2 linked regions of the Alligator mississippiensis genome follow. The protein of the gene in region 2 purifies or fractionates together with the protein of the main gene of each other region. This does not show direct contact. Links are inferred from orthologs where the notes say so. Each region holds a gene or a part of one and is shown on either strand. Other genes may lie near its edges.

Region 1 (16,647 bases), on a different chromosome or scaffold from region 2:
CAGGAGAGTTACTACTGTAACTGGTAAATGCTAACCTATTGCAGTGGGTAGGCAGAGAAGTTGCACACAGCCAGCTGACAAACGTCTGGGTCCTGGGGCGAAAGTGAAGAGTGCCTAACTCTGACTAGTGAGGATTATGAACTGGGGCATACATTTCAGGTATTTCCCTGAAATGGCAACATGCCAGACAACTGTCCAGGACTCAACAGGTAGTTTGCTTTTTTTTTGGGGGGGGGGGGAGGGGGGTGGCTATTAAATGTTTGTTGGTTTTCGTTTTTTTAAGTATATTTTAGCAACCCATTACTCTTGGCTAGAAAATCTAGTCTCAGGATATATTAACTTCCTTGTGCTTTATTAGTTCAAAAGTCATCTGCATCATGGACAAGTAGGCTAGCTAGCAAGCTCTACAAAACATGAGCATCTTTAGTTTTGGAAGACTTTCCTGGTACAAAGCCAGATTCCATTCTTCTTCCTCCCTACCCCCAAAAGATCATGCAAAGCAATTATCTAAATTTTAAGATAATTTTAAGATTCTAAGCCTTTCTAGGCCTAAACATAGCTACTATTGATCTGGGTTCAGATCAAGGATTTCAGCATCCAGTGCTCTCCTTCCCTGGGCTACTTTCCCCACACCTGCTCCACCAGGAATGTGGAAACTTACCCGCTTGCCGTTCTTGTAGAACAGGAATGTCGGCATGCATTTGATTTGACAATGTTCAGCAACATCCTAGAAGAGAGGAAGTTTCACTGGAATCTTAAGATATAAAACTTTAGTTACAGCTAGAAAGCAGTCTGTCTAAAAACTGCTAGAGGACAGACTGGAGCCAAGCATGTACTTGCTACCAAGTAAAGCGGTACATTCCAGTGGAGTCTACTAGTCAGCTAAAAGCTATAGTCTCCTCATCTTTTCTAGATTTAGAGCAGTGGCTCTTAAGTTGTAAAGAGGCACCCCTCAGAATCAAGGCACACCTCCAAGTTTATCCAAATTGAGCAGTACCCCCATTTCAGAGACTTACAGTGCTTTCCTCTTTGCAAAGGAGCCAGGTAATAGGGGCAGGAGAGTGTCCAGGCAGGCAAAGCCAGAGCCTGCCCTTATCCACTTATCTCCTTGCACTTTCTGCAGCACCCTTCAGACGATCTCACTCACTGAAGTATAAGCACTAGTTCTAGTTTCCTCTGGGGGACTGTTTGACAAACCCAGGATTTTAGAGTCCACACAGCTACTAGGAAGCCTCATTGTGTCAGGTCCCATTCCAAGCAAGTTGTGAGGATGTACTCCACCGATAGGTTGAGCTACCAAATTCCAAGAAGTGTTCCTGCTAAAGAAGTTGTTGCTCAAGTGTGTCCGAGGCCAGAAGGAGAATCCTTAAACACTGAAGCTTACGGCAGTGCGTTCATTATTTCAATTATGTGTCTCAGCCAATCAAATTTAACTGGTGCAATAACAGGAAAAGAAATTCCTGCCATTAGGGGCAGTTGGGACACAACCCTTGGGTAAGCTCTTGCTTAACAGCAAGGGGAATGGATACAAGAGAAAGTTTGAGAAATATGTATTCTTTGGCAGAGGTCAGGTGAGACTCAACAACATAGGTATTTAGTGCCCTTTCAAGTGATTGCATGACAGCCAATTAATGCACACCATTACCTTGTAAAAAAAAAAAAAAAAAGCCTCAAGAAAGCTCCCCATCTAAGGGCACCACCCACAACAATGCCAAACATCTGGTAACATTAGAAGCTAATCCTATGTGTAAAAACATAGAACTGCTCCTGCCAAAACAGCATAGATTATTTTTTCCAGTATCATGTCTTGGCTATGAAGTTAACTTGCAAGCTAGAGTGCCTGCCTGTCGTATGTGCACTTGTCAGACTGCATACTTGACAGACTAATGTTGTTTACAGCAGTTCAAATATCAGAACATGTACTGTAAGAACTCTCTCAACATGTAATCTTACCAAATGAGGATTTCTCATGTTGATACAATTAAAAAAAAAAAAAAAGCTGAAGCCATGCAGCATTCCTACTCTATTTTCCCCACTAAAGAACATTTCTAAATTTAATAGATATTGGCAAAAAAACAGCTGTCAGGGAGAAGCAGGGATAAGTTAGACAATCCTAACAGAGTACAGCAGCAAGGAGAAAGTTGAATTTACATTGGCTCTTGAACTCACAATCCCTGAAAGTGATTGTACTCCGTTTCAGAGCAGTAGCTAGACAACTTGCCTGCCTTTTGACATGCCATCAGTTTATTTGTACTGAAGTCAAAAAGGAAACAGTACTGGTCCAGTAATGCCAAAGTTCATGGGAAGATTAAGTGATCAAGGCCTGAGCATGGCAGGCTCTATGAGTGCTGTTACACTTGTAAGGGCCAAGCAAATTTTAGCTGATTTACCAGGACTGAAGACTTGCTATCTTAAAGTGTAAATCTGAGTTTTCAGTCCTGGTAAAGCAGCTAAAGTCATCTTGTTAGCACCTTTCTTCCCTATGCCTGCAGTGAAGACTATGGAGTCTGCCAGACAGTAGTACAAAGCCAGATTGATTAAAGTTCAAATGCACAAGTATAAGTCCACTATAATAATTTAACATTTCCCCAGTAGGACATAAGACACCCCCACTCTTGAAAGGTCAGTCAGTCCTTAGCTTTCTTGCTCTGTAAAGCTAAGAAAATACGAGAGCAAGAGTAACACTACCCATTTTCAGCAAACAAAGTATTACACTGCATGTTAAAATCTAGTTCTATTGTCAGGAGTTATATGACCAATAGTATTATTTTTTCCACTGTATTAATTCAAGACCTTACCTGAGCATCATCCACATCAACCTCCAGGAATACTACATTATTATATTTTTCCACAAGTTCCTAAAATTTAAATACCAAAGATTAGTGTTCTAGCTGCAGCTTTATTACCCTCCCCCCCAAGCTTTGTGTCATTTTGGGGAAAGACTAATTTCCCCTCCCTCCCCACTTAAAAAAAAAAAATGAAGTCCCATTTCCATTAGTGCTATTTTACTAGCTGGAATTCTGGTCTCCAGAGTTCAGTTAACAGTATAGTGTCAGTGATGGTCACCAAAGCATCCATGACTTTACTTTTCCATCTCCAATCGGAACGGATTAGGAGGAGGATTTTATTTGGGCATTCCCTGCTCTGCCTCCAAATCATTAAGTCTCACAACAACTTGCTCTGGAAATATTATGATGGCTATAGGGACACACAAATATTAAGCTTTAGAACCTTCCAGACACAGGCAGGTCAGTTGAGGATTTATAGCTGTACACATATTCTTCTCTAGTTTGATCTAGTTTGCAAGATAGTAGTCTCCCTACTACTGAACTGCTTTTAAAGTTAACATTGTATTCCTTTTTTCTTCTTTTGAGCAAGAGTGCTTAATTGGATTATTCTTGAGACAGTCCATCTCCATTTCAAAAAGGGAATGGATCCAAACTTAATACAGTAGAGCTGCTTTGCTTTTCCATGTGCATTTACAATTTTGCAGATTGGGAAAGCGTATAATCCAGTACCCTGTCAGAATACTGTGTTGAAGCCAGGGAGCATGTAGGGCCACACAAACAGCCACACTGCAGTTGCTGCTGGCCCTACAGATCTGGCCCAGAAGTACACCCTGCAGTATTGATTCAGTCCAAGGCCTTGGACAAGTTTGACACCACTGTCTTAGGGGAAATCAAAATGCAAGGTACTTATTCTAGATTTGAACAGCTACCCAGACCATATAGCAATATAAAACATTGATATCATTTTAGCCTTAATTACAATTTCAGAGTGACATCAGTATTTCAGATGGGCTTCTGAAGGCAGCCGATGCAAGACTCTGGTATCAAATAGAACAGGTTTATTTACATTCTCTGGACCCTGTATTTGCCACAGTGCAGTTAAAAGAAAGTCTCACTGATGCATGTTCTTTAAAATTATTCCATGTAAAATGGCTTAAAAACCATCTACCATGTCAGGGATGTGGTTACAAACTGCACAAAGGTCTTCTTGACTATGTCAGCTGGGGACTTGTCAGACCTCTCATAATGAAGTAGTTTTGAAGCACTACATTAGTTTTTTTACCATTGAAAAAAATCAGTGAAGTGAGTATTGTTTGCCAGTTACTTACATGGAAAAAAGGCTTGATCATTTTGCACGGTCCACACCATGTAGCAGAGAAGTCAATAACTACAAGTTTATCACCAGCTGCCTTCAATTCAGTCTCAAGTTCAGCCTGGGGGGGGGCAGGGAAGAATAAGAGAATAAAAATTAAAAACATTAAGTTCAATTCCTACAAGTGAATACAAGTCATTTGCCTCTTGACGACCAGCGTGCTCTTGAGCTTAAGAATTCTTTTTAGAGCAGCTGAGAGTTCATTATGAAGAAAGAAGTAGTGTCAACATTTTGTACAAATGCAAAATAAGACATTTACCTCATCCACAATGAGAATCAGTTTAACAATAAAATGTTTTTGTAACTAATTTAATACCTTTTACTAACAGAAGAGTAGACATGCCACCTAGAGTTTTACTTTTGTTCAGATTAAGTCCCAGGAAATAATGATGTCTTCTTAAATGTCTCTTATGTTATGCTGTATTGGAATACAAGTCTAACTTTAATTCAAATTTCCATTAACACATCTAGTACATGTTTAACTAATAGGGCAACACAATTTTAAGTGTGCTGATATACAAGAAAAGTGTTTAGCAAAATATGCTTTGCATAAAATGTCAAAAATGGGGGAGGTAAAGTGTTATCTTCAGTTAGTGAATTAACTTGGCTACCACATCAAGGTATTAGAACTTGTAGCTTTCCATTCTCCACATTTAGCTTTTATTAAAGTGGGGGTGGGAAAGAGAAGTCTCCTGCATTTAAAGTTCAATAAATTTGTGTCTCAGCTTTGAAAGAAATTAAAATTAAAGGAACTAGCTGGTCCAAGACAATATCACACGAAGAAGATGGTTTAGTACTAAAGTGTGATGCCAGATGTTTAGCAAACAGTTTTCAGTCTTAAGTGAAAGTACATTATTTGCTCCTAAAAAGTATTCAAGTGATTTTAATTCCATAAATTTAAGCCTTAAATGCAGTTTGAAGCTGGCAACCTTATTTAAAAACTGGAAGCCAATATGAACTAAATGTAAGCACTATCATCAATTCTGAAGAAGTTCCCACCACTCGTCCAATTAAAAAAAAAAAAAAAAAGGTGACTAAACTCGGAGTCAAGCCATTTTCCCCACCAAATTATAATGGCAGACATGGTGTCTTGGCAGAAACTGCAGCCAATCAAAAGATGCCACTTTAGGCTCTAGACTTGAGTTATAGTACATGTTCCTGATAAATAATGCATACAGGTTACCAGTAGAGGAAAAAGTACAAGTGGTCAGGCTTCATCAGACAGATCTAACAAGTTAAGCAGGGCTTCCCCCCCATGCCGCTCTTTTTATACACTGACAAGTTCAGAGCCTAAGTGAACTCCTTTATTCTAGGCAATCTGGTATAATCCAAGCAAAAACACAGACTTCCTGTATCAGAGATTCTTTTTGTACACCAGATCTTTCCACACAGCTATTCCTGAAAGTGCAATTTTAAATGCACCACAATCTAGCTCTTTGATCATACAGTATTTTAAAGCACTGACCTTGTATACCAGAGTAATAGGTATCTACATCAGTGCCCTGATAATACACAGTTCAAACTGATATAAGTAATCAGAGTCATAACTGTGCAAGTTATTGTATATGCATGCCAACTGATGCTCTTGAGTAACTATGCACAGGAAAGCAAGTTTCTTCACCACTCCCTTTAGCCCAGGGAGTCAAACTCATCTGGCTTCCCTCACCCTTTTGTCCCTGACCCTCTGGCCCCATCTCAGCATACCTGTTGCAGCAGCTGCTCCAGCTTGTCCAGGACCTGCACTTTCTGCAGCTCAGATCCTAGCGCAGCTGGAATAAGTGATTTGTGTGGCATGCATGGTCCAGTCAGAGCCGTAGGGATAGCCACCCCAGGCTAGGCACTGCATGCAGCACCTGCTTCAGCCTGTCTAGGATCTGGCCTGCACATTGCACCTTGCTGGCACAGGCTGGGTATACACTGCATGCAGTGCAGCTGCCACTTTGGCCAGACTGTGCCATACCCAGCATGCATTCTGGGATCTGCACTGAATGCAGCTTGGGTCACAGACCAGCTGGAACATCTGCTGGATCAGGTATGCTGGGGGAGGAAAGGAAGTCCATGGGCCCAGTCCAGCCCCATACCATGGGAAACCAGACCCACATGGGGCATCAGACACAGGGGCAGCACTGGGGCCAAATAGCAGGGGCCACAGTATATTTAATACCCACCCCTGCTTTTGCCTTCTCTACATCTTCAGGCATTACTAGTGTACATTTACCGGGGCAGAAGACAGCTTACTCAGTGCATTCCTTTAGACTGAGATGCGAGTGTATGGGTGAACGAAGTTTAGCTAACCAGCTAGTGGAATTAGCAACCATCCTGCATCTTCATCTACCAGTTTCCTTCTGGTCCCAAATCAAAAGCCCTTTAATGCCAGTTACCTGCTGGCATGGGTGGCCCTTAACTCCATACTCAGATGCATAACAGCGAGTAAGTAGCTTGCCATGTGACCAGAGGATGACTCATGTACTAGGACCCAGTTCCACTAGTCAGAGGTTATGATGTAAATTAGAGAATGTCAACTACAAAGACTGGAGGATTAAATTTGTCTTTTATAGCTGGGAGCAGAGGGGGATTTTTCCTCTCTGCCCCAATTAGAGCAGTGCAGGAGGCCTTACAGAGTAGGAGCAAGTGCCAGGAGGAATTTAATCTAGAGCACTAATCATGCAGCAACTCTGGCTGCTAACATTAGCTGTGCTTGCATTTTTCTGAATTATGATTTATTTCATGTGACACTTGCCAAGATCAAGCCAAAAGCTTCTGCTGTTTCAGAACCAAATCCTCACCTTCCCCCCCAAGATGCGCCGCCCTGCCTTCCCTCCCACACCTGAGCCCACAGCAAGGAGCTCCCGCCTGGAAGCTCCCACAGCTCCAAGATCATTAGGATTACTAAAACAGACTGCCTCGTGCTGCACCAGCCTACACTACTGTCTTTATGCAAGGAAAAATAAGAGCCTTGCTCTCCCTAATCCTCAGGGAAGAGCAGGACAGTTATTCAGTGAGCCCAAGAGCCCTCAGAGCATGCTTTTTAAAAAGAAAGAAAAAAAGGAAATTTTTAAGAAAAAACGGGACTAGTCTACATAGTAGGTAGAAAAATGGAGGCAGAAAATGAGACTGAAGATCAGTCAGGGGGAGGAGAGAAGCTCAGGCGACCCGCCCTGCAGCTGGGGGGGGGGGAACGAAGGTGTGTGGAGAGGGTGACTTTTTCCCAATGGGGGGGGAGGGAGCCTTTTTCAGGAAAAGGCGGACATGCGTGTCCACCCTTTTCCGCCCCAGCCCCCTTTCTCCTGCCCCGCCTTCAGCCAGCACTGCCTGCGAGGCGCCCCCCGACGGGAACGAGCCGAGCTGCCCGCAGCGCCTCCCCCCCCGCAGCGGTCGCTCACCAGGCTCCCCAGGCTCTTCACCATCGTGCCGCCTGCTCGCTCGCTCGCGCACACTCTGCCGACTGCTAACGTGAAACGGGCACCTATAGCCAGCCGCCCGCCCGGCCGTCAGCTTATATAGGCCGGTGAGGAGGAGGCGTGGCCAGATGGGCGCATGCGCGGCTCAGCCAGTCGTCTTCCCGGCCCTTATTTTTTTTTGGTCCAGGGAGCCGGAAGCAGGGGTGGGGTGTAGTTTAGCGCATGCGTGCAGGGGTTGTTCTCATTCTCCCTTGCTGTACGCGACAGGGTAACAAGGTTGGAAAAAAAAGAAAAAAGGCTTCCCTGGGGGTGGGGAGCTAGGGAATCCCTTTCCCCAGTAAAGGGAGAGATCTGCCAGGAAATCCCGAGTGCCCCCGTGCCGCCTGCATGGGGCTGGCAGGGGTCAGGACAGCCCCTGTCCGCGCCCTGGTGCCGTCTGGCCCACTGGGCCCTCACATTTGGTGGCAGGGCAGTGGTGCAAGGGTTAATGCCCACGTTTCAGGACCCGCGGGGAGCCCCTCTGCGCCAGCTCAGGTGATTTGGGTATCTGGGGCTGCCAGAGGCCGCTGGAGCAGAGCAGGGGCACGTGCAGGGGCTGGCTGAGGGGCAGAGCAGAGGTCTGGTCCAGCAGCATGGGGACTGGGTGCATCCGGCCCCAGTCGTGGCAGTGGGTGGGTCTGATCTGGCCCGCAGACTGGCCACACACCTCCTGGCCAGCAGAAGCACCAGGTTGAGCACTGCGGTCCTACACGCTTGGGCCTCTGCCCCGCGGGAGAAACAGGCCCAGCACAGCAGTCTTACAGACCTCTCCTGGAGAGCTGCTTATTGATGCAGTTGGGTGGCGAACGTGCACAGACGGAGCCGGTGTGCAGTAACACTGGGTGACGTGGCCCCAGGCAATTCTCCTGGTTGCCTGCCCACTAACCAGTTCTCTGCATGCACACATAGTTAAGTGAGGCAATGACTGAAACACGTTGGCAAAGCTGAAAGACGGCCCTGAGAGGAGGACAGCCCCCAAATCCGAAGGAGACATGAAAATTAGATACCATGCAAAAATGGCCTTTTTCCCCAAAAAATATGTAGATGTTTTATAGGATGTTCAAAGCTCAACATTTTCTGTCTTTTGACTGGGAATAAATGGGTTTCAGGTGCTTATTTTTCAACTGACATTCTGTTTGTCTATGGAAAGCAGGTATGAGCACAGATAGATGCTTTTCACGAAGAATTGTGTTTAGGCAAAGCTGTGGTTTTCTATTGAAAAACTGAGCCACGATAAGAATTTGAGCAGCCTTGATCAGAGCTTTCTAGTACTCCAAAATGTACATGTACACACCAGAACAACAAAACACACATAATGTATTGAACATCTGCAATATTTACAGTGCCCCAAAAACTTCCAAGTGCACACAGAGCTCTAAAATTACAGAACACAAGGGTGTTTGAGAAAATAATAGTGCTTTTAAAATAAAACCATTTTGTGTACAATGATCACCTACTGGACAACATCACTTCTCTACATAGTTGTAAACGTTGGGTGCCTTTGACAACACTATCAGTGTGCCCTGCTGCTGTGTACTTTCCCACTCATTGCATAGAAAGTGGGTTTATTTGAAAAATGCTGTTTCTTTCTGGAGCACCCTCATACAAACGTACTAACTATCACAAAACATCATCCCCCAAATTTTCACAACTCCTGAAATCCTCAAATTTATGGTTTGTTGAAAGCACAACACACATCCGTTGCACTAAAAGGTAATACACAATCTTTCATACACAAAGATGAAATAATGATGAAAATGCTGACATATACAATGTGCCAACCTGATGCTTGTGCTGCTTAGAATAATCTGAATGAATAAATAAAAGACCCATCAGAAGCCACAAAATAATCAAAGTATAAATATTATGTCACAATACATACTGCACTAAAGAAGGGAAGACCTTGGCCAGAGACAAACTGCAGATAAACGTTCAGAGAAATATAGGGCACTCTACACATGTGCATTTACTGCTCAGTAATGGAAATTACTGCACAGTATGGACACAACTCATTTACTGCACAGTATGGGCATGCATATGTCAAGTTGTGTCTGTACTGCGCAGTACATGTGGTAATTTATGCCAATTTGAATGTAAATTTGATACCTGCAAATTTACACCCAATTTGTTACTGCACAGTAACGCAGATGTAGATGTCTTACTGCACAGTAACACTGTGTGTGTGGACTGACTTGGTACTAACTAGTCCCAAGTCAGTCTACATACAGTGTTAATGCATACTATAATGCCCACACATGTAGATGCCGGCCTATTCTGGTTTACTGTGTAGTAAATTTAAGCCAGTATAAATGCATGTGTAGACATGCCCATAATCATGCAAATCCCAAACTGTGGCACTGTCATAGGTATGTTTATGCTGTCTGTAAAGCAGTGGTTCTCAACCATTTTAGACTGCAAACTAGAAGTGACCGTGGACCAGCATAATGGAGACTGGAAATGACCAGTATACTGTGGATTGGCAGCCAACCTTTTTTTATACTGAGTATATACTCAGTATAAAAAAGGGTTGGCTGCCAGTCTGCAGTATGCTGATCACTTCTGGACTTCCGATCCAGCAGCCAACCCTCCTGCGGACCGGCAGCCACCCTTTGTGACCCAGTACCAGGCCATGGCCCGGGGGTTGGGAACCTCTGCCGTTAAGGAAACCAAGCAAAATAAAGAACACTGAGGTTTGAATAAAAATACTTTATGTAATAAGAAAGAAGTGCAAATGCACTCTGACTTGTAGGAAAATTGAAAACAGATGTTAAGATAAATAAAAGGAATTTCCACCATATTCTATGACAGATCTGGGTGGGAAAAGAGGTGAATAGGTAAGGCTTTTTTAAAATGTTGCCTCTAAATCTTCTTCTGATTAAATAGAGAAACAGCCTTGTATATGCGATGTTGTGGTATTAGTCACAGCTGTGGGCGTGCCTAAGCTCTCTTAATGAGTCCTCGGTTTTCCTCAGAGACTCTGGGAAAAAATGCTGTGTAATGATGAGGGGGAAGTATTTCTGTGCTGTGTAATGATGAACAGAAAACACGCATAGTCCCTTCCCCCAGAACTGCTTTCCCTCCTCCTTCTCTGTTTCCTTACCAGCTTTTCATTGTTGATACTGGAGCTTGTGAAGTGACGTAAAATTATTTATAGCTTGTATAAATAGAAAAGGTTCAGCTAGTTTATGTTAGTTTAGCAGCTCCAACTATTATACTTCCTGAAATTATGAAACTTTGAGTGGTCACGTATCATAAGTTAAATTTACTCTGGTTATATATTTAAAATCTTATATATATTTAAAATAACACTAATAGTTTTACAGTGATCACCCTTAAAAAGTTTCACCAGTTTGAAAGATTTGCTGGATCCAGACATATTCCTTATATTTGCATGAAAATTTCCATTAGTAGTTTCCAGATCAGATGCAACTCTGCATGAAACTTTCTTTTTCTGGTACCTTTTGGTGTATTTTATATATTTTGGGGCTCATCACCTGTATTTCAGTGTTTGCTCTGTAGTTAAAAATTCTGGAGTAAATTAAACCTCATTGTGATAATAAGGGGCAAAAACTGTGTTCAGTTCTTATACAGCATGGCGTGTTCCAGTGCAGGCAGTTAGCACCTTTCGTCAAGCTTCAGGAAATTCCCAGGGTCAGAAGTCTCTATCAGGTAGGCTCAGAGGGCATCCATACACATGCTCCAGGGGTGGGGTGGAGCAAGCCTTCTAATTAAATTGCCGAGAGTGTCTCGTGTATCAGCATCTCCAAGCTTCAAAATAGAGGTGGTGGCGTTCTATATAAAGTTTGTTTGACGAGCTTTAGATAAAGCACCCCCGCTGCCATTTTGAAGCACGGGATGTTGATACACATGATGCGGAAGCTGGCTGGAGTGCAGTAATTATGGGGTTGCCAACCTTTCAGGATTGTCCTGGAGTCTCCAGGAATTAGATATAAACCTCCAGGATACTGCTGAGAGTCACCCAGAAGATAAATGATAGGGCATTCATTAAAATAAATATTAAATGTTGAATCTAGTATATATATAGTAATCCAGTGGGTTTTTAAAATGTAATTGTAATGTGCATTTGCCTTCCTGATGTAAAGTCTACACTAATCTTTAACTGATATATGCAAGCATGCAGGCACGTTCGCTCTGTCTCTCACGGGCACGTTGGAATTCTGGAAACACCCCAGAATAGATTCAGAATTGGCAACCCTAGGTAATTACTACTTTTTTTGGTTTTTTAAAAATTAAAATCTATATCTATAACTATATCATAGACTTCCATCGCACCTTTTTTTTAGAACCACCTTAAGAAAGCCGTGCACCTGTTACAATAACTGCACCTGCTCCCCTGTGCTCACACCCACCCACCCTCTGCCCTTCCCTAACCTAAACACAGTCCCTTTGTCCAGGCTCTGACTTGGGGTTTCCCTCCTCAGTTCATTCTCTGTCCTCATCGGTGTAGATGCCGCTGTCGCTTCCACTGTTGCTGATCCTGTTGTCCTCTTCACTATCTCCAGGTCCAGTTGTGTCATTGTCCCCTTCGTTCTCCCTATCCACTTCCCTTCCTGGGAGGACTTTGAACAGCCTATGTATGCCATGTGTCCCTTTTCCAGGTGGAGTTGGCTGCATCTTCTCCCACCACTTTCTGGTAGTAGGACTGGAGTTCGTTCAGAAACATTTTAACACAATCCGTTTGCTCGAACTTAGTGTGACTGTACATCAGGAGGTTCCTGCATTGCCACAGGGCACTCCTGATGCAGGATACAAACTGGTCAAAGTGGGTTGTCTGGGACCCCTGATGTTTAGTTAGGTGTCTGTACAGCGCTGCCTCCCCTGTCATCAACCTGACTCCTGTCACTTCCTCAAGGAGCTGGCTTACCTTTTTCCACACTCCCTTGGCATAGGGGCAGAGCCAAAGGAGGTGGTCGATGGTCTCATTCTCACTTTGGTAGCTTCCCCTGGGGCAGTTTGTTTCTAGACTCTCGTCTCGCTCTGCGCCTCCACACCTTCCCTGGGAGTACACCATGAGCTATGAGCCAGTTCAGGTCTCTGTGGTGTTTTCTTAGGTCTTTGTGGAAGAGCTGGTCTTAGATGGCCTGACAGTAGTCATCATGGAGCAGCTCCATGGTCTTGCCTTCTGTATCTTCCTGTGGTTGAACATGGTCTCTGGGCTTTCCTTCGGTAGCTCATACTCGCTCCAGAACTCGTTCAGCACACTGTAGAACCAGGGGCTCTCCATGGTGCACGGACTCCCTCTGGCTGGTGCATGCACCCAGCACGGTCTCGGGAGATGACCTGTAAAATACTTGACAAGACAGGCTGTTTTGGTTGCTGGCCGAGTTGCCAGCTTGCAGATCTGTCTTGTGTACCTTGCCAACAGGAACACATGGATGTCAGGCATCCCCCTGCCCCTGGCCCATTTCTTCTTGTACAGGGTCTTACTTGCCACCTTCTCCATTCTGGATCCCCAGAAAAAGATGCACGTGACTCTCTGGATTCTGTGGGTGACACACTTGTGTGTAGGGAAGACCAGTGCGGTGTACAGAAGCACTGGTAGCAACACTGCTTTCATGAGTGCCACATGCCCCCCATGGAGAGGCAGCGCATGTGCCACAGACCCAATTTCTGCTTCACTTTGTCCTCCTTCTTCTCCCAGGCCCTCCTTTCACTCAGCTCAGGATCAAACTCCACCCTGAGGATCTTTGCCCCCTCATGGGGGACTGAGATCCCAGGGACTCCAGATCCCTGAGCTCGCCCATAGCCAGGCAGGTACTCTTGCTCACTTTAAGGTTGGCCCCTTCTGCTGCCTTGTAGACCCATGTGTACCTCCGGGCTCTCTCTACAGCACACTTATTCCAGAACAAGATGTTCAGATCATCCATGTAGGCCAGGACCTTGGTTTCTTCTTTGCTTCCTCCAAAAATCGGGACTCCATGCATCCTGGGGTCCTGCCTGATGTGGTGGGCCAGGGGTTCAATGGTGCTGATAAAAAGGATTGGGGAGAGCGGGCGGCCCTGGTGGAAGTAATTGCTGTGCTCCAGCTGACTCAATCAAGTCTGCTCTGACACACTGTAATTACAGTGTGCCAAAGCAGCTTCCTCCCTCGTCTGTAGGCACCCAGGGTTACTGTACTTCATAGTAACACACCCACACCTTTCCAGCAAAGGAACAAAGTCCCCCTCTCTGAAATTTCTGAAGTAATAGGTGGTGTCCTAGGGGACTAGCCAGGCTGTGCTCTGACTGCTGTCAGTTTTCAAAGCATTCCTTTGTGTTCAGGCCAATTGACAGGCGTTCCTCAAGGGAATGATGCTTCAGGCACAAAAGGGGACCATCCTAGTGCACATAAAGGGAGGCAAAACAGCCAAAAACCCTCTTGGCTGAGCGGGGAAATCCAGGAGAGCCTAGAGGGAAAAGAGAGGCATACAGACTGTGGAAGCAGCAGGTAGCCACCAAGGAGGAGTATACCTGCTTGGCTCGCACTTGCAGGGAAGCAGTGAGGAAGGCCAAAGCAGAAATGGAACTCAGGCCGGCAACAAAAATTAAAGACAACAAAAAGTCCTTCTTCAGGCATATAGGGAGCAAAAAGAAGGCGCATGGACCCCTACAGGACCCCTACAGGACAGACTAGGGCAATTGGTAACAGATAGGAGGAACTGCAGGGAGTTGGTAAGGAAGACCAAGGCAACTCTAGAAGTTAGGCTAGCATCAGGGATTAAGGACAATAAAAAGTCCTTCTTTAGGTAAGTTGGGAGCAAAAAGAGGGGGCGGGGTAGCATAGAACCCATACAGGATGGGCAGGGGGGCTTAGTGACGGATAGCAGGGACAAGGCAGAGCTCTTCAATGAGTTTTTTGCCTCTGTCTTCTTAAATAGGAATCTAGACGAACCCTCAACATACATCACGGACACCAACAAAGGGAACATCAGCCAACCGGCAGTCAGTGCCAACACGGTAAAAAGACACTTGGAGGGACTGGATGTATTCAAATCACCAGGACCAGAAAGACTCCACCCATGGGTAATGAAGGAATTAGCAGGGGTCATAGCTGATCAACTGGCAAGGATATATGAGCGTTCCACTCATGGTGCTCGAGTCAGGTTCCGGAGGATTGGAAGAGGGCCAATGTCATCCCAATCTTTAAGAGGGGGAGGAAGGAGGACCCAGGGAACTATAGACCAGTCAGCCTTACCTCTATCCCTGGGAAAGTCCTAGAAAAAATGATCAAGGAGCACATCTGTGGGAGCCTGCTGGCTAATGTGATGTGGAGGGGTAACCAACATGGGTTTTTAGCAGGTAGGTCCTGCCTGACTAACCTAGTTTCCTTTTATGACAAGGCCACCAATTTTTTAGATGCAGGAGTCGAGGTGGATGTTATCTATCTGGACTTCAAGAAGACCTTTAACAAGGTATCCCATACCATCCTTATAAATAAACTGAGGGGATTTGCCTTGTCTAAATTAATGGATGACACCAAATAATAGGGCAAAGTAAACAGTGGAGAGTAAGGAGCGGATTCAGGCAGATTTGGACAGGTTGGGAATGTGGGCAGAAAAATAGGATGCAATTTAACAAAGATAAGTGCAAAGTGCTGCATCTAGAGAAAAAGGATCACCAACACACCTACAGACTGGGAAGTGACTTTGTAAGCAGCACAGCAGCAGCACTACTGTTGCTGCCTTGTACCGAAGCAACCTTGTGTACCAGCCAGCCTCTCTGCAGCACACTGAGCTGGGGATTTAGCCCTGGGCTGCCAGGATGACCTCCTGGGTCCCCTGCCATTTGGGGATGCTCCAACCCGACTTAACATGCTGTGATCCCAGGTGCATGTGGAATGTGTGTCTGGGAGCAATGAACTCTGGTGTGCTAAGTACCAGAGTTTATTGCATCACATTAATGTGCACATGTAGATATGCCTACTGAGGACTAAAATAAAGGGAAGCCTGGAAGGTGGTATAAAGCCTCTCTTTTCCTTCCACTTGGTGCTGAACAGCTTTCAGTCAGAATCAGGCCTCATCTTTCAGCAATTCATGTAACTTACTAGAGAATATAGGGAAACTGAAACTCAGATTCAATTTCAAGGACATGCAGCACTGCCATGCCTGCAGTCCTTGACATCATATTAATGGTTACAATCCTACTAGGTTAACACACACTTAACTTCTAGGCAAGCTTTAACAGTTCTGGGTGGCTAGAGGGTTAGTTCTCTGGATGTAAGTGAACTGAGAGGACTGTCTTTGGCTTATGGGTATTCTGAAGCAAGAAGTTTCCTCCATCACATGAAACTAAAAATGTATATTTTGCCTCAGCTGTCCCATCCATTATCTATGGCCTTGCCTATCTTTCTGTAGAAGACATTCAAAACACAATGGACATTTAAAACACAATGGACGTTTAACTCATGATGATACCTGCTCCACTCCTTAATCCTCAACACAAAAATAAAAATCATGTGGCTTCTTGATTGTCTTTACTAACCCCGTTGTGCCTTCCTTCTCTCCCTCTTTCTGGGTTCCTGTATGACTGTGTTTTCCTTTTGTTACTGGGAGACCTCTGCCATGTTGCTTTTTCCTTTCCAATCTGTCCAAGACTGCTAGTGGCAAACTGGTCTACATTGGTAACAGTGTAAACAGGTGCCTCTTATGTCCCCTGTGGCCGCTCTACTCCTTCCCTAGCTGCACTTACCAGGCATGGCTTACCCAGCCCCTAGCCCTGGCACCCAGGGCCAGGGTCCTCAGATCCTTCTGGCCACCTTTGTTGTCCTGCTGGCCCACTGCCGTCATCCCACCCCTCCTCATCGGGGACCCAGTCTACCCACTACTCCCATGACTCATGAGGCCCCACACCAGCCCCCTGGACCCCCAACAGGGCCATTTTAAATGGTGCCTCGGGTAAACCCACACCCTCATCAAATGTGCCTTCGGTCACTTGAAGTCCCGTTGGTAGTCCCTCATGGCCCACCTCGAGATGGCCAAGAACAATCTCCCCTGGGTCATCATTGCAATGTGCATGCTGTACAATATTTGCGAGGCTTGGGGAGAGG
Region 2 (16,600 bases):
TCCATCTAGATCCGTGGTGCTCAGTCTTTTGGCCCAAGCCAAATGAGTGGTGGGGCAAGTCCACACCAGACTCCCTGCTGCAGGGAGTTTTTTTTTCCCCCCAGCATAATCCATGATCAACTAAAAATGGGTGAATGCCTTTAGACTAGCAAGTCTCCCACTTCTGAGAGGAAACCCTCCCAAGAAGCCCTAGCCCCCATGTCTTAAAAAAAAGCACTTGATCATTTTATAAACTTTATCCAAGAATTGCTCTGCCTGTTTTACAAAACCTCTTTTTAAACTGCTTCTAAAAACATTGATTTCTACCTTCACCACAATCCATCAAAACAGACATGCTGTTTCAAAACTACTTCACATCCCGCAGCCGTCTGAAGTTTCAGAAGAGAGCACACAAAAAAGTGTTTCTTTTAAACCTATGAGTTTAATAGGAGTTACAGAAATCGGGAAACTTAGCTGTATTAAGTGTAACACCAGACCAGACATCTATACTCCACTGGTCATATTACAGGTCACTAGGACATGAGGTACAAATACAGATTATTAGGATTCTATACAAAGTTACTGGTCAATAGGACTAGTTTTCCCCTCAAGTACAGAAGATGGGTTGACATCTACAGCTGTTTGACAGGACTTCCCTTGACTTGGATATAGCAATTTAACCCAAGTCCAAACATTCAATGGCTTGATGACTTTGTTCTTACGTGGAAGGCAGACTAGTTTCCTCCAGTTAACACAGAAGCGCATGCAGCCAGTTTACTTTTGCTTGGAGAAAAACTCTTTGCTTTTCTGAACGTCAGGCTTGATAGTCTCACTCCCAGGTTTCCAACCAGCAGGACACACTGGAAAGACAAGCAAGCAGTGTTCAGCACAGACTTCTGGAAGTAGCTCACAGAACTGGTTTTAGAAGATGGAGTGAGCTGGCAATTCAGAAACTCTTTATATGAACACACAGGTTGTAATACTTTGAAGTTGCAGTCGGCGCATTAATCTTCTGTACTAGTTACTGGTTCTGCTCTACCCATGTTGATACCCAGACCATCAAAGAACACCCTAGACAGCCAAAATTTAGGTTGTTCATTCAACTTTAGTCTTGACAATTCCTGTTTGAGTGCTTTTATAGTCACCTGTTAACAGAGGAATACTGGCCGACTGAGATGTTGTCTACACTAAGCTACTTTTGAAGCCAGATCGGCATCTTGTGTATTCCTTGCACTTCCACACCTGCACAGTTTCTAGCAGCTCCCCTATGGCCGTGGGGTTGGTGCACCGACTAGTTCTAGTCGCAGAGCACTAGGGGTTTTCAGGAAGTCCTGGCTATTGGGTTTTTCTTCCCATTGGCTATAATAGTTCCACTTCTATAGAAAGAAGAGGCTATTTTTAGGTACCCTTCAGAAAAAAAACAAAACAAAAACAAACAAACAAAAAAAAAAAACCACAAAAAAAACCCGAAAAACCTCGAGGGACCTCTCACCTTCTCCATGTTTATCTGTAAACTGGAACGCTTGAACTAATCTGAGAGTTTCATCGACTGAGCGGCCAACAGGGAGATCATTGATGGTGATCTGACGCAATATTCCCTTATCATCAACGATAAACAGACCTCTGCAGAAAGAAGATAAGTTTAGAGACATTAAAGCCAGTTCGGGACATGCTTTTGAAAGACCTCTCGCTGCACTTCCAGAGGATTTCACAAGCTATGTAGCATCAGATCTGTAAAGAAACTGCATTTGTTTTTGGCACGTATAGTCAAAGAGATGGAAGACTAGACGAGCTAATTGCTACATAAATTAGACCTAGGAGGCATGCATATCACTTGTCTTGCTACAGCTTCATTGTGGTTTACTCCCGCATGCTATACTGAATGAAAAAACTAACTCAAGTCGAGCAGTGGTTTTCAAACTGGAGCGCAAATACCCCGGGGCTATGTGGCACTTTGTCAAGGAAGGGATGCAGGCATAAAATTTAATGGCAGAGGAGCTTCTGATTAGTTGAAGCAAGGTGAGTAATGGCGTTGTTGCACGCCGACAGTGTGAACACTGCCCGAGAAGTGAATGTGCAGGGACATGTCAAGGGCAGGGGGTACAAACAACAATAAAATAATTTTGCTAGTAGAGGAATACTTAGCCAAGAAAAACCCTCCAAAAAACCCACAAAACACCCCCACCAGCACTGAAGTCAAAGGATGGAAACTATCATTATGGCACCCAGTAACAACATGGGTTAGGCAAGGTACTGGTACTTCCATTGAAGCCAAATATTTTTAGAAGAACCACGTGATCTTTCCAACACGTGCACATCTACTTACTAAAAGCATTGGTTTAAGACTACAGAACAGTTTAGCAAGCAAGTTAGTTAAAGTGAACAGTGTTCATTTGACAGATTTCTTTCCAAGTACATGAAGTCCCAAGTGGAGTAATATAAAATGCCAAAATGACTCAACACACGCTGTTTGACATCTCATGGAAGGGTACTGTGGCCAGCAGCCTTACCTGTAAGCAATGCCTTCATCTTCTTTTAGTACGCCATACTCTTTAGCAATGGTGCGTTTTGTATCAGAAACGAGCGGGATTTTCATGCTGCCCAGTCCACCCTGTTTCTTAGGAGTGTTGACCCTGCGATGGAAAGGCAACAGATCAGGAACAGGAACATACCAGTTGGGTATCCAAACCACGGCATGCTGTTGATCGGTCATGGGTGGGCAATTATTTTGGGTGGAGGGCCACTTACCGAGTTTTGACAAGCCATCAAGGGCTGCATGACAGGCAGCCAGGGGCAGATTAATATTAATTTCCTAAATTTTTTAGGGGCCCCGTGGGCCACAGCCAGGCTGTATTTTGCCCACCCCCAGTCTATGTAGTGATTATTACTACTAACATTGTGTGTGTTGGGAAAAAGTAATCCAACATACTGATGCACTACCCAAGAGGCATATAAATTGATAAGATGCATTTCATTGGGATCATTTCCACTGGCCAGCCTCAGTTAAGCTTTGAATATAGCAGAAGAGGTAAAATTTAAATTGTGAGCTTTATATTGCTCTCCAGAGAAGACTAGCGTAAGCTACAGGAAGGATAAAGAAAAGAAGATGCCCAAGACGACACCTGCTCAAGTCTTCCAGCCAGAAGAGCCTTGTATCGGACCTGAAGTAACAATACTGATGCTTACCATGCAAGGTGGCAGAAATGAGAGTCCACAGAAGCTCCAATGACTTCACAGTTGATTTTCTTAAACTCATCAGACCTGTCACTGTATGCAATAATCTCAGTTGGACAAACAAAGGTGAAGTCCAGCGGATAGAAGAAGAACACAACGTATTTTCCTAGAGGAGAAAAAAGTCAAAAGTTGTTCTCTAGGCAAGTTGTAGTTCCTTAGTTAAGATGCCCTGAGTGTGAAGTAAGTGGTAAAATGATGAAAAACCAACCCAACCCTTTAAGAACCATGTGCCCAAATAGATCTAAGAAGATCCAAGTTGAGCAGGTAGGTGCCACTGACCTTTAGTGCTGCCGTAAGTCCAGAAAACCCAAGTCCTGCCAGTTGGCACTTACAAGGCTGCCTGTGTGCCAGCATGCAGGTTCAGAGCTGCTCAGAGCAGTAGCTCACACTAGGGCCCCAAAGCAAGCTCTCAGCACTGGAAGAGGAAAGGCCTGCATGGGACCAGACTCTGTAGTTACATCCAGAACATAACCAAAACTTGCTGCCTGCAGGTTTCTATAGCAAGGCAGCTTAATGCAAGCCACCAAGAGAGACACAGGCTGTCCACATGCAAGAGCCATCAGTTGAAACAGTCTTGGTTTCCCCAAGAAGATATTGGCTATCCTGGCCCTCAGGCAAAGGTTTAGTGTCCTGGAGTAGAGGAGGTGCCTCTGCTCAGCACCTTCACATAACAGATCCACCAAGAACCTAATCCCATTGCCCCTTTCTCTGGTCTGCTCAATATTTCTCTCCTGACTAGCTCAGATGGCTCCCAGTTGACCAGTCTGGCTCCTAAGTTTCCTTCCTTAGGCATATAATGATGTGCTGTATGGGAAGCCTGAAGCCAAGGGCTGAAGAGTCCACTGGGCAGGCTAGCAATGCTTAAAAACCTCCATAAGTCTGACCAAGGCCCTTCCCCTCTCAGCCATTGAAGCAGGGTCATCTGCTCTTTTCTCAGCTCAGTCATCTGCTGTAAGCTTCACCATATGCATCCAGATAAGATCTTGATTCCCTGGATACTCGAAACCACTGTCCGAGTTAAATTGTACTAGCTGCTGCTCGTGGAAGTAAACTGGTTCAATTCAATTCATCCCTCCAAGGGGGCTGGCAATGATGACTAAATTTAGAAGCATAGAAAACAAGGTTGGAAGGGATTAATATATAAAATAAGCCCAAGTCAGAGATGCAGCAGCTTGCTTCGTTACATTCAGAGCAAGCTGCTGCTTAAAGCTTATGCATCTCTAGAGTTAGTGAATAAGTTGCTAATCTACCCTGCCTTCTGCCCAACTTCAAAACTAACACCAAACTACCCCTCTCAGGACCCTTTATACCAACCATCTTCCCCCATAGCATTGTTGGGCCAGCTGATGCTCACAAGGTATTAAATAGGCTTCAACTGTTCTTAGCTCAGCAAGACCACGTGCCTAATCATTCCTTCTTGCAGAAGGAAAAAAAAATTGTTTTATACTCCTTGCCAAGATAGAAGAAGTTTGTCCGATTATTTTACGCCATCACAATCATGTGACTCGTGGGTAGTGAGCATTGAACTTTTGTAGTAAAACTGCACCATTAAGCACTCTTCTATATATATAGATGTACATACTTAGACTCATTCATCATCTCTTAAAGCATAGATATACATCTATGTATTGCTTTAACAGACAATGAACGAGTCTAAGTGTCGTCAGGGCTGGATTAACACATAGGCAAGCTAGGCACAAGCCTAGGGCCCTGAGCTGCAAGGGGGCCTGGTCCTTTCCTCTGCCGTAGCAATGCAAATGGCCCCATCTGCCTCTCTTCCCCTCCACTGGCCTTGCCGCCACCCCTGGCAGCAGGTCCAAGCCTTACTCCCCATGGGCGGGAGCACCGGGGTTGGGGCAGGGGGCACATCTCGACCAGCCCAAACCCACAAGTTTGTTCACCTAGGGCCCATAAAAGGGTTAATCCAGCCCCGAGTGCATTGTGTACAGATTAGTAGGGTTACTGCAGAGATTCAGTTCACCAGTAGGACCATAGTCTAGAGCTATTCCAGTGACTGATTAACCACGTTTTACTGTATGTATTAGTTAATTGATACATTGTTTCCATGAGCTCTCATGTGCTTAAAAAAAAAAAAAAAAAATGCAGAGATAGGAAACAAAGTACTGCAGTTTTAGGCTTTAGGTTTCTCCACCTTTTGCAAAGTAGTCACTTTCTCTAGAGTCCTAGAAAGAAGTCTCTTCATTAGCGACCTGGAAGAGTTACAATACTTCCATTGCCAAAAAAATAAAGTCACTGGAGACCTGGTTTTGCTCTCCCATGGTGTTTGAGACATTGCATCAGCTCTGCTCTAGGATAATAAGCAACACGAATAAAGTCCACCCTAAACTTTAGGGCAAGTTCAGTGCTCATTAACGTTTGAGGTTAATGAGATTTGCTGCAATGAGATGTTGGCTTTGCCTGCTCCCGTGTCAGAAGCGTGCTTCAGTCTGCACTTGGAACTGTTCACAGCATGAGTGCCTCAACTAAGGCACCGTTTCTCAACCCGGGGGTCACAACCCACACGTGGGTTGCAAGAATATGAAAGGGTCATGAACAAACTTCAAAAGGAGAAGCCATTTAACATGGAAAAACAACATGGGAAACTGCATTTTCCCTTGCAGATTGGCAGAGCTCCAGCCTGCGAGAGGCTGCCTGGGGTCCCCCCTGCCCCACACACTGGGGACTGGGCATCAAATGTGGGTCCCAGTACAAAAGAGGGGCGAGAACCACTGAACTAGTTCAATGTCTCAAGGATCACAGGCAGCTTTGTTTTCAGAAATGCATTTAAAACAGATTTAAGCCAAGCAGAAGAGCCATCCTTATCCCCACTCCCAATCACAATTACAAATTTACCTTTATAGTCAGAAAGCCTGATGTCTTTGAACTGCCCATCCGGCATTACAGCTGTAGCCTGGAAGTCAGGAGCTGGTTTCCCTATAAATGCGTTCCCTGAAGACATCTTGATAGGAGCTAAAATGGAGACACAAACATAACTTGGACACATCTTCCCCTTAAGTGTCTAAAGGGAGTCAGAGTCATGATTTTGGTCATCTCTTAGCAGTTCCTACTAAGCACAAAATACTGGTGGTTTAGTTTGCTACAGCTTTTCTTAAAGAAAAAGCTTGGACATCAAAAGGCTCAGCCGACATGACAAGTAGCAAACTGCTCCCTCCAGTTTCCTTTATTTCATACTTTGTACAGAAGCACGGAAGAAGTGCAGCCCACGCAGCTATACAGAGATGCTTGTGAAAGCAAGTCATGCATTCCCCCTTCACTCAAGTAGTCTCGGGGGAAGTCTTCCCTATCGAGGGCACAGAAACATTAGTGTTTGAACTTCGGCGGGGTGCAAGTTATCTGGAGTCCTAACACAAGTGCACGAGCAGAAAGAGCTAGCCATCTGCTCTTCCACCAACAACAGTGCAATTCCCACATTCACCGTGTCAGCATAACGGACCCTGATCCTATCCGCACGCTGCGTCACAAGGAAGTTTCTCTGTTCCACGTTTCCTGATAAGCAGTTCAAGACCTTGACCGCTGGCTCCATTGTCCTATTGATTTGAAGCACATAAATAACACTTGCTAGGCTTAGGAAGAGCAAGTCTTACATTAGCTAGTCCAGTTTGAGGGATACCAACTTCCATGGGATGTTAGCAAAAGCAGAGACTTGACACTACTATGCAATGCAGCAAAGGCATCCTGCTCTAAAATATCCAAGTATGAACATGTGCTATCCTGGTAAGCGCGTACCAGCTTCACCAAACTGTTTAATGTCATTGCAGAGCCATAGTAAGAAACCTATCAAATGCATTATCAATGAGGCAAAACTAAGGGTAAAGAGAAACTTGTGTGTAAGAATAGAGAACTTTTCTTAGTCCAAGGAAAACTGGAAGTTTTAATTCTTTAAAAGTGTCTTCCTTTTATTTCAGAAGTATTTCATACTTATTTTGGCCTGGGTAAATAATTGCCTTCGAAGAGGCTGAACCACCCGGTCAAGAGGTTCAATGGTTGGGCCTCCACACACAACAGCCTAGAAGCAGGTTTTGTATCCAGGGATACAGCTCTGCGTGGATTTAAGAGCAAAGACTCCAGGCCTCTTAATTTCAGAGACAAGCAAAATCTAAAAACTTCATTAACATATTCCTCCAGGAAAGCGGAAGATTTTATACTGGGCGTTAGGAACTGCCGCACTTGAGACTGTAACGAGGAAACTTGGTTACCATTCCCCACTACATTTGCTTGCTCCATAACATCCACCACCTTCCCATATTAAAATTATTTTTAAAAACAAACAGGTAAAACCACAGCATTTCCTGACCAGATGGGTGTGCAGACATCTCAGGATTTTTTTAGTTATACTTCCTCTTGCAGTACTTAAAAAAACAAAAAGTGCAGATGGGCACGGTCTCTAGTTCTGCCAGTTCTTTAAAAGCTGCAACTCCAGTAGTTCAGTTTAATCCTCCCCCCATCCAGCAAATCTCTTAATTAGACAAGAGGTTTCTCAACCATCATTTAACCCCAGGTGACTAGGTGGGTCCCACGGCACGGCCACAACTTCACCAAAGAACGAAGGGCATTTCATAACCCCCAGGAAGGCATGTGCCCACCGTCCTCCAGAGCCAGCGGGCCTGCCAGCTGCCAACCCCACCCTGCAACCGGGCTGCTTCTTCCACACGTTCAGCTCCATCCCTGCCAGAGCCCCGGGCTGAAGTGTTAGGATTAAACATCACCTGGGCTAACAGTTTGCCCGGCCTGGAAACCAGTGTCGTGAGCGCCAAGCCTTGCAAAATCGTAAGGCAAGGAGGACTGGAAGGGAGGTCACATCTAGCCCACCCCGCTGCTCACAAGCAGGGCCATCCCCAGCTGCGTCATCCCAGCCAGGGCTTTAGGTCTTAAACTCCCGGGACGGAGATGCCGCCATCTCTCCGGGCGGTCATTTAGTGCGACGGCCCCAACAACAATGTACCTCCTGGCATACAAGTGTGAGCGTGAAGACTCTCCCAGCAGACTCGCTGCCTTCTTCGGGAGAAAGGTTTCCCAACATCCAGCCCACACGCCCGCCTCTCTGCAGCCCGTTCTCCGGCGCAGGGAGGAGAGGAGAGGCCGTGGGGATGCCCCCCTTCCCCCGCGCTCGTCTCCTCGCTGCAGGAGCGGGATGCTCTTCTCCGGGCCGGGGCCCCAGGACCAGGGAGGGAGGGAGGGAAGGGGGGGCTGGGTCAGGCTGGAGGCAAAGCATCGCGGCCCGCACGCGAAGCCGGGCCTTTTCCCCCGTTGTTAAAGGCCCGGCTTTGCACAGGAGACAAACGCAGAGCTGCCCGGATCAGCACCGCCCGCAGCGGGGCTGCACTCACCGGCGGGCGGACAGACGAACGGAGCGGAGCGATGCAGTGCGGCGCAGCACGGAACGATGCAGTGCGGAGCGGTACGTCGCAGCACGGAGCGCAGCAGGCAGCGGGGCGGAGCGGGGAGGGCTCCGTCTTTATATCGCCCGGCTCTCGCGAGCGGCGCGGGGCGAGGCGGGGCGGGGCGGGTCCTGCCCTTCCCACGCGCCGTGCCCCCGCCCCGCCTCGCCCCGCCCATCACTCTGCAGCGGGACACCCCGCCGCGCCCCCGGCCGGGCGTGTGTGCGCTCGTGTGATACGTGTGTGAATCGCGTGTGCATACAGTTTCATGGTTCATATATGTATTGTGTGTGTACATATAGATGTGCGTGCATGCGTGTCTGCATTGTGTGTGCATATAGATGTGTGCGTGCATGTATTGTGTGTACATATGTGTGTGTATCGTGTGTGTGATATATGTGCATTATTATATATGTGTGTGTGTATTGTGTATGCGTGTCAATTATGTGTGTGCACGTGTGTGTACGTGTGTGCATGTATTGTGTGTGTGCATGTGAATTGTGTGTACATGTGTGTGCATGTATGTGTACGTGTGTGTATTATGTGTGTATGTGTTGTATATGTGTGTGTGTAAGTATGTGTATCTACCCACCAACACCCCCAAAACATGGTTATATACACTTACCGTGTTTTACTAAATATGTATATATTTACCAACACCCCCAAACCATGGTAATATATGTATACCATATATGTATGTTACCATGGTTTGGGGGTGTTGGCTATCTATCTATCTATCTATCTATCTATCTATCTATCTATCTATCTATCTATCTTTTATGTATTTATTCCTTTATTCACTATGTTTTACCAAACATGTATGTTTGCACAGTCTGGATTACCATGTCGAGGGGGTGTTGGCAGTAGCCGCGTTGGTCTAGGAACATAGGCAGACAAGGTTCTCCGTCTCATAAAAGATATCACATTTACCCAAATAACCTTGTCTGCCTACATCTATTTTTATACATGACTATATCAAAATATATGCATACATTTATACACGTGCACACATGTATACGAGCAAAACCCTTTCACCCTGCTAGCAACGTTAGAAGGCAAACGTAAGCCGTACTCTGTTTCTTGCCTCTGCTCTCACGAATTCGGCTCCAGCGGTCGGCGCAAGGCGAGTCATGTGATGCAGGGTTAAAATTAAACAATGAAGGCGATCTCTGAGCTTTGACTTGGCTGCCTAGCAGAGAATATTGAAATACTTTGGCTGCTTTATAGGACACGGAGGAGCTGTCGGGACTAATGATCCAACTTCTGAAACTTTCATGAGAGTTATGCAAAGGTCTTTTTTTGTGGTGCGGTTTAGGCACAGCATTGAGTGGAGCGAGAAAATACTTGGAGGCAATCTCAGCAGTTGTAAGACTGGCTTTAATGGGAGTTGGCAATGCCTGTTTATTTCTGGGCTGCACTGCCATTTACTTACCATGTATTAAAACATTAATATTTTGCCACGTAAAGGAAGCCATCAAAAGGCATCATTTTTAAACGTCAATCAATATTGGAAGACGATAAAAGTAGATTGTACTGGAACCTCCAAATTGCCGTATATTGCAAATATTTCAGAACCTGCACAGCCAAAGGATTTCTGTAGTCCTTACCATTAAGATTCAGACTCATTTATCTGTAAATAGCAAATATTTTGGTCATTTTACTGACAGCCATAGGGGCACAGCCAGGGTTCAAATTATACTTTGACTCTGGGGGGGTCTGCAAAAAAAATTGGGCTGCCCATTATGATGCCCTAATAAAACTGAAGACTCCCCAAGTTTTGATTTTAAAATCTTACCGGGGGGGGGGGTCTTGTCTTTTATGGGGGGCTCAGCCCTCCTTCCCCCAAACTCCCCTGTAAATCGAACCCTGGGCACGGCCATGTGTATAACGTGCCCCTGAGTCTCTGCGTATGAGGGACTGGACAAAGACGGTTGTCTGAAGAAGGAAAATTGTTTGAAAGTTAGTATTTTCTTTAAACGGTGAGCATCTGCCCTGAATTATTGCACATTTCGGCCTCTTTCATGATTATCTGTCATGCAGGAGTTGAACGTGGTGTACAAATACAATATGTATGTCTGGCAACACTGCCGTCTGCCTGCGTGAGCCGCTACGATTCTCGCTGTTGCGTGGTGTTCTTGTGCACCGATGAACACTCGTTCCGATCGGTTTTAGCGAGGACTGTCTTTTGGTACTGAGTTTATTTTTCTAAATGTTAAAAACAAAATGCACTCGCTTGCACGCCGCCTCTGAAGTGCTTTAGGATCCTGGAGGCTGCAGCGCGCAGTAGAAACCTCCTGAAAACATAGGCCAGGGAAATGTGTCTAGGTTAGCACGTGGCAAGCCAGGCAGTCTCAACGGTGGCGAAAGAATTGCTGACACACGATGCAACTCTTAGCAGTGTAGCTGCACCCTAACATGGATCAACCCCCCTTGCACAAATCAGGAGCAATTTTCTCGGGCTACTTCTCTTCTGTGCACTTCCAAGCGCGGGGTCTACTCATTTGTGTGGAGCTGCCACAGTGCAATTTGCCCTCGTTTGCTCTGAGCGTTGCCTTTCCGTTCACACCTCTGTGTCCTCAGGTTGTGTGTGGTATTCTGTCGTTTCCTTCTAAGCCGGTCTCTTCATCATCTGCTTCGGGGGTTTGCGGTTTGCTTGTTTTTGGGTAAGGAACCAGTGCTGCATTGTCAGTGGCTGCTATTTCCAGATAAAGGAGCGTGCTTCTCCAGCGATCTGGTTACCTCACTGTTAGGTGGGGGCATGTCATTGCTACGACAAGCTGAAGCCTGTTCTGAGCTCCTTGAGGCAGCAGAGTGAGCTTACTTGCTGGCACGGAGGAGATGGCTGGTACCGCTGTGATTGAGAAGAATAGGAATCTGTGGGCTTTACACCAATACACACAAAATTAAGCCCAAAAGTTATTGCTAGGGATCCCAATTATTATTTAGTGGTTTTAGCTACCAGAGTCCCTAGTCAGGAATGGGCCTTTTGTACCAGGTAGTACAGAGATACAAAGATACAGTCCCTTTCCCAAAGACATCACGTTTAAATCTAAGGGTCCAATTATTTGTTAAAGAAGAGCAAAATCCTGGCTTGGCTATAGACATCTCAGGGCTCTGCTGGTGAAAGTCTTCCAAGCTGTACGGTTCTCAGGCCTGTAGATGTGCCTATTCAATTGATGCGCTCAAGAGCGAATTGAGCCATTTAGGCCTACTAAGATGGGCTTTGTGAATGAGAAGTAGAAGCTCTGGAATTCAGTGTAAAAACAGGTGAAATCACGGGTTTTGAACACACATTTGCTTTTCCTTCTTTAATTGAAGTGATCGTCGTGTTTTCAGATCAAAACATACGGCCTTTCCTTTTCTTTATCCATGCGCTCTCAATGTTACGTTTTTATCATCATCGTATGGGTCATGACAGTCTTTTGATGACAAAAATGTGCCGTCTTCTGACAAAAAAGGATATAATTATTTCCTTTTTGTTCCATATTGAATAGTGTTCTAATTGTCACATTTTTTATTTATTTTGACATGTTCAAGTATCCTCTACTGTACTATACTATACTATACTATACTATACTATACTATACTATACTATACTATAGTGTCCAATAGCAATTTTCTTGGCAATAACTGTCCATAGTTACTGTTTCCAGGAGGACAGGCACTTTGCTTATCTCCTTTTCTTCCACTTCACTCTTTCCTCCCCTGCCCTCAACATTATTTTATCTTTTCTTTCCATTCTTTTTTTTCCTTTGCACTATCTTGCTGCTGCTTTTTCAGTCCTGTAGCTATAGGAAGCTCCATGGAAAAGTGCTCCTATATGAGTAGCCAGTGGGGTTAACCTTGAGACTCTACTAGGTTTGCATCAATTTGCAACGAAGAAAGAAACGGGTGGAACGACCCCACCACGCACTTCCAGGCCTGGTACAGTGAGGAATTTGTTGGCATTTCATCTTTAAATCCACCTGCTTTCCAAATCCTCAAAGTTTGTAACTTAGTTGTAAATGTGGACATCTAGAGAAGAAAATTACAGCTGTGTGTGATCTTCAGTCCTGGCCATCTGTAGCGACAGGAATGCAGTAAGCATGGGGGTATTTCACACACACACACAACGCCACATGCTGCTCTCTTAAGATCCATTCAAATGCTGCCTTGGAGGATCATACCTCCACAGTTCAAATTTGCATACATATCAGTCAGGTTAGCCTTCCTTTCAGCTTCATTGTATAAATAAGGAAATGCATACCTGAGGATGTGTGTTGAACAAATATGCCTTTGTTCTCTCAGTACACTAGTTCCTCGTGCAAACAATACCCCAACAGCAAAGTACCTGACATTGCACTTTTTGTGGAATCCAGTGACTCCAACCTATGGATTTCTTGCCCTCCCCTTTGCAGAAATATTGTTAATGTGATCAGGGTCAATGGAGCAGAAGAAAGACTTTTCTGGAGAATTCACACAAATATTATTGCCCTTAATTTAAGTTGAATCTGTGTGATTGTGTTTGAAACGTCTTTAAAAGTAGCTGGGAGCAGTTTGTTATGCCCCTGAAAATATTTTTTAGCTCTTTCCTAGTCGTTTAGAAATCTGAATCATTGAAACCCCCGGCCTGTGAAATAAGAGACAAAGAAAAGAAATAGTAAAAGCTGAGTCATTTTGCATCTGCACATATTTTGCCGACAGCAGCATGACAGGATGTACATGAATTGATTCAAAGCTGGAGGCCACAGTCCCTGTGGTTTGTGGACTTTTTCTTTACACCTGCTGTGATCCTGTCATGGTTTTCCCCCACGGACTGTGTCACAGGGGAGCAGATTCTGCCAGCTCTTACTCACGGGCGTAACTCTACTGACCTCCATGAATTGCTCTACAGGATAAGAGTTTGGAGGAGGGGACCCAGAGTTGTCTCACACTTGACAAACTTCATGAGCCACAGAGCCAAGCTGCAGACTGCCACACACCACTTGTGCAACTGCAGTTGTGATGATGAAAGTATAGAGGATGTTTGGACAGGGCTCGTCCTGCCTGAGGCAGAGGGTTGGACTAGATGTGATTTCTGGAGGTCCCTTCCAGCCCTATTTCTCTATGGCTGTATAAGGGAAATTTCCAACCCAGAGGTGGAGGAAGCTCCTTGCAAACTGTCCCATAAGCAGAGAGCTGGGAAAAGAAACTCCCCCTTCACCAAAGGGAGAAGCTTTCCACGAGCAATTTTCCATTGCAAAATCCACTGTTGGGTGGAGGACGAGCCTGAAGTTGGTTCCTTGTTCCCAGTTTGTTCCTTGGTCCCAGTTCCTTATTCCTGGTTCCTGGATCCTTATTCTGAATTCTTGGATCCCTTATTCCTGGTTCCTGGATCCTTATTTTGGGGACTTTATTCCCAGTTCCTGGATCCTTTATTCCCGGTTCTTGGATCCTTAATTTCCAGTTCCTGGATCCTTATTCTGGGGACTTTATTCTCAGTTCTTGGATCCTTTATTCCCGGTTCCTGGTTCCTTATTTTGGGGACTTTATTCCCAGTTCTTGGATCCTTAATTCCCAGTTCCTGGATCCTTATTCTGGGAACTTTATTCCCAGTTCCTAGATCCTTTATTTCCGGTTCTTGGATCCTTAATTCCCAGTTCCTGGATCCTTATTCTGGGGACTTTATTCTCAGTTCTTGGATCCTTTATTCCCGGTTCCTGGATCCTTATTTTGGGGACTTTATTCCCAGTTCCTGGATCCTTTATTCCCGGTTCCTGGATCCTTATTCTGGGGACTTTATTCTCAGTTCCTGGATCCTTTATTCCCGGTTCTTGGATCCTTAATTCCCAGTTCCTGGATCCTTATTTTAGGGACTTTATTCCCAGTTCCTGGATCCTTTATTCTTGGTTCCTGGATCCTTATTCTGGGGACTTTATTCTCAGTTCCTGGATCCTTTATTCCCGGTTCTTGGATCCTTAATTCCCAGTTCCTGGATCCTTATTCTGGGGACTTTATTCTCAGTTCTTGGATCCTTTATTCCCGGTTCCTGGTTCCTTATTTTGGGGACTTTATTCCCAGTTCTTGGATCCTTAATTCCCAGTTCCCGGATCCTTATTCTGGGAACTTTATTCCCAGTTCCTAGATCCTTTATTCCCAGTTCCTGGATCCTTTATTCCCGGTTCCTGGATCCTTTATTCCCGGTTCCTGGATCCTTATTCTGGGTTCCTGGGGACTTTATTCCCAGTTCTTGCATCCTTTATTCCTGGCTCCCGGTTCCTTATTGTGGGGACTTTCTTCCCGGTTCCTGGTTCAGGCTCACGGGTGAAGGGAGGCGTGAAAGCGGTGTGCAGAACCCCCCTCAAGGCCAGCCCCGAGCAGCGAGCACGCTCCTGGTCAGTTTCAACACGTCAGTTTCCGCAGCGCCCGGAGAAGTGGCTGCGCCGCGCCAGGGGCTTGGCAAAGGGGGAAATACGGTAACACATGTGCCCTGGCACTCCCACGTGGAAGGGGAAATGGGCTGATACATTGTGAGTTAATGTCAAAGCCGGAAACGGAAACGTTGTGCTGGGCAGGTCGGGGGGCTGAGGCTGAGGCTGAGGCTGAGGCTGAGGGAGGGAAGAGGCACGGGTGTGCGGTGAGTTTCCTGCCCTCCCCTCCCCTCCCTTCCCCGGGTTTCTGCACAGCCAGACGTGCAAGCGGCGGGGTGGGTGCCTAGGTTTGCTGCTCGGGGGGCGGTGCTGTGCAGGTCTCTTTGCTGCCAAAGTGGCAAGCAGAGGAGAGGGATGCTCGGGGCTGCCTGCCTGGCACTTGGCACGAGGAGTTGCGCTGCAAAAGGGCTCTTGCAGGATGCAAGAGCTGTACAAAAACTCGCGAGCCAGTGTCTGAAGGGTGGAGCAAGAGCCCCCCAGTACCATGGAGGCATTGCAATGTTTGGGGTAAGAAACCAGTGGTGTCTGGCACTCTTCTCAGAAGCAAATGGATAAAGGGAGTCTTTTAAGTCGGTGCAATTTGAAGTTTACCCTGTCTCTGAGCCAACCTGCAGTTTATTTCACATCATCTTTGCAACCTGGGGTTTTTCTTTCCTGGTTTCTACACCCCTATAGGCATAAAAATGCTAATGGAAGCCACTGTTTAATCTTAATTACTTAATTATCTATTGACTTCTTATCCTGTTCCATCTCTGTCTTATTAAAACCTGATCCTCTCTTCTATTCATCTGCTGGACCAGTCGAGGTTTGCACAACTGTGGTGTTCCTCAAAGCAAAACCAAACCAGTCGGGTGAAGGGGAGCATCTGGGGAGAAAGATTGTAGACTTCTGTTGTCTAGATTTGTTCTCTTTCCAGGCTCCCTGGCTCTGCCACCCCTGCATTATACAGTATTAATATACAAGTGTGTCCCGTGAAGCAGGAGAGCTCTGTGTGTTCTTGGAGCAGGCCAAGAGTTACTGATTTTACATGCATACTTTGTCCTTTGGGTTAAAGGTCTGAGTTTGCATTTGAAGTGTGCAGTATTTAATAAAGTGCTTATCTTGTAAAGTGCTCGCTTGTCACAGAGAGTCCGTACCACCTATTTTGAGAGAGCGTTCGCCGTAGAGACCAGGGCGGGCCGGATGTGGTCCACCAGGTCATTTTATCTGGCCCATGGGGCCCCTACAAAATGTAGAAAATTAATATTTATTTGCCCCTGGCTGCCTGTCACGTGGCCCTCGATGGCTTGCCAAAACCCAGTAAGCAGCCCTCCGCCTGAAATAATTGCCGGCCCCGGTATAGACTCTTATCTGCAAACAAGAAAATCTATGCAATTATGCACAGATTATAATTTTCCACAAAAATTATTCTGCTTAATTTTCCTGTGAGGGCATCCCACTAGCTGGCATGACAAATAGGGTTTTTTTTCTACCATGGATGAAATTTTTAATTCAGTAAACAGCAAGAAATAGCTGATCTTAGCAAAAGCTAAGGAAGTGGATATGCCTTGGAACACATCCTAAAACACTGTTTCCTTTTAACAGTTTTCAACCAAAAGC

Evidence for each region.
Region 1: the proteins of PRDX1 (region 2) and thioredoxin purify together in Homo sapiens (affinity purification with western blotting; 3 studies listed by BioGRID, with this or other methods). This does not show direct contact. The link is inferred for Alligator mississippiensis from reciprocal best matches to the Homo sapiens genes PRDX1 and TXN.

What each region holds. Positions count from the first base shown.
Region 1 is NC_081826.1:165,822,720-165,839,366, forward strand, and holds the start of thioredoxin, read right to left. Parts: upstream 7,657-16,647; 5' UTR 7,569-7,656; coding exon 7,545-7,568; intron 4,223-7,544; coding exon 4,118-4,222; intron 2,859-4,117; coding exon 2,799-2,858; intron 728-2,798; coding exon 662-727; intron 1-661. UniProt on the Homo sapiens protein: Participates in various redox reactions through the reversible oxidation of its active center dithiol to a disulfide and catalyzes dithiol-disulfide exchange reactions.
Region 2 is NC_081828.1:2,599,642-2,616,241, forward strand, and holds PRDX1 (peroxiredoxin-1), read right to left. Parts: upstream 8,672-16,600; 5' UTR 8,562-8,671; intron 6,184-8,561; 5' UTR 6,173-6,183; coding exon 6,067-6,172; intron 3,320-6,066; coding exon 3,166-3,319; intron 2,613-3,165; coding exon 2,490-2,612; intron 1,603-2,489; coding exon 1,472-1,602; intron 840-1,471; coding exon 754-839; 3' UTR 402-753; downstream 1-401. Other genes in the region: AKR1A1 (aldo-keto reductase family 1 member A1), read left to right, coding at 15,356-15,508. UniProt on the Homo sapiens protein: Thiol-specific peroxidase that catalyzes the reduction of hydrogen peroxide and organic hydroperoxides to water and alcohols, respectively.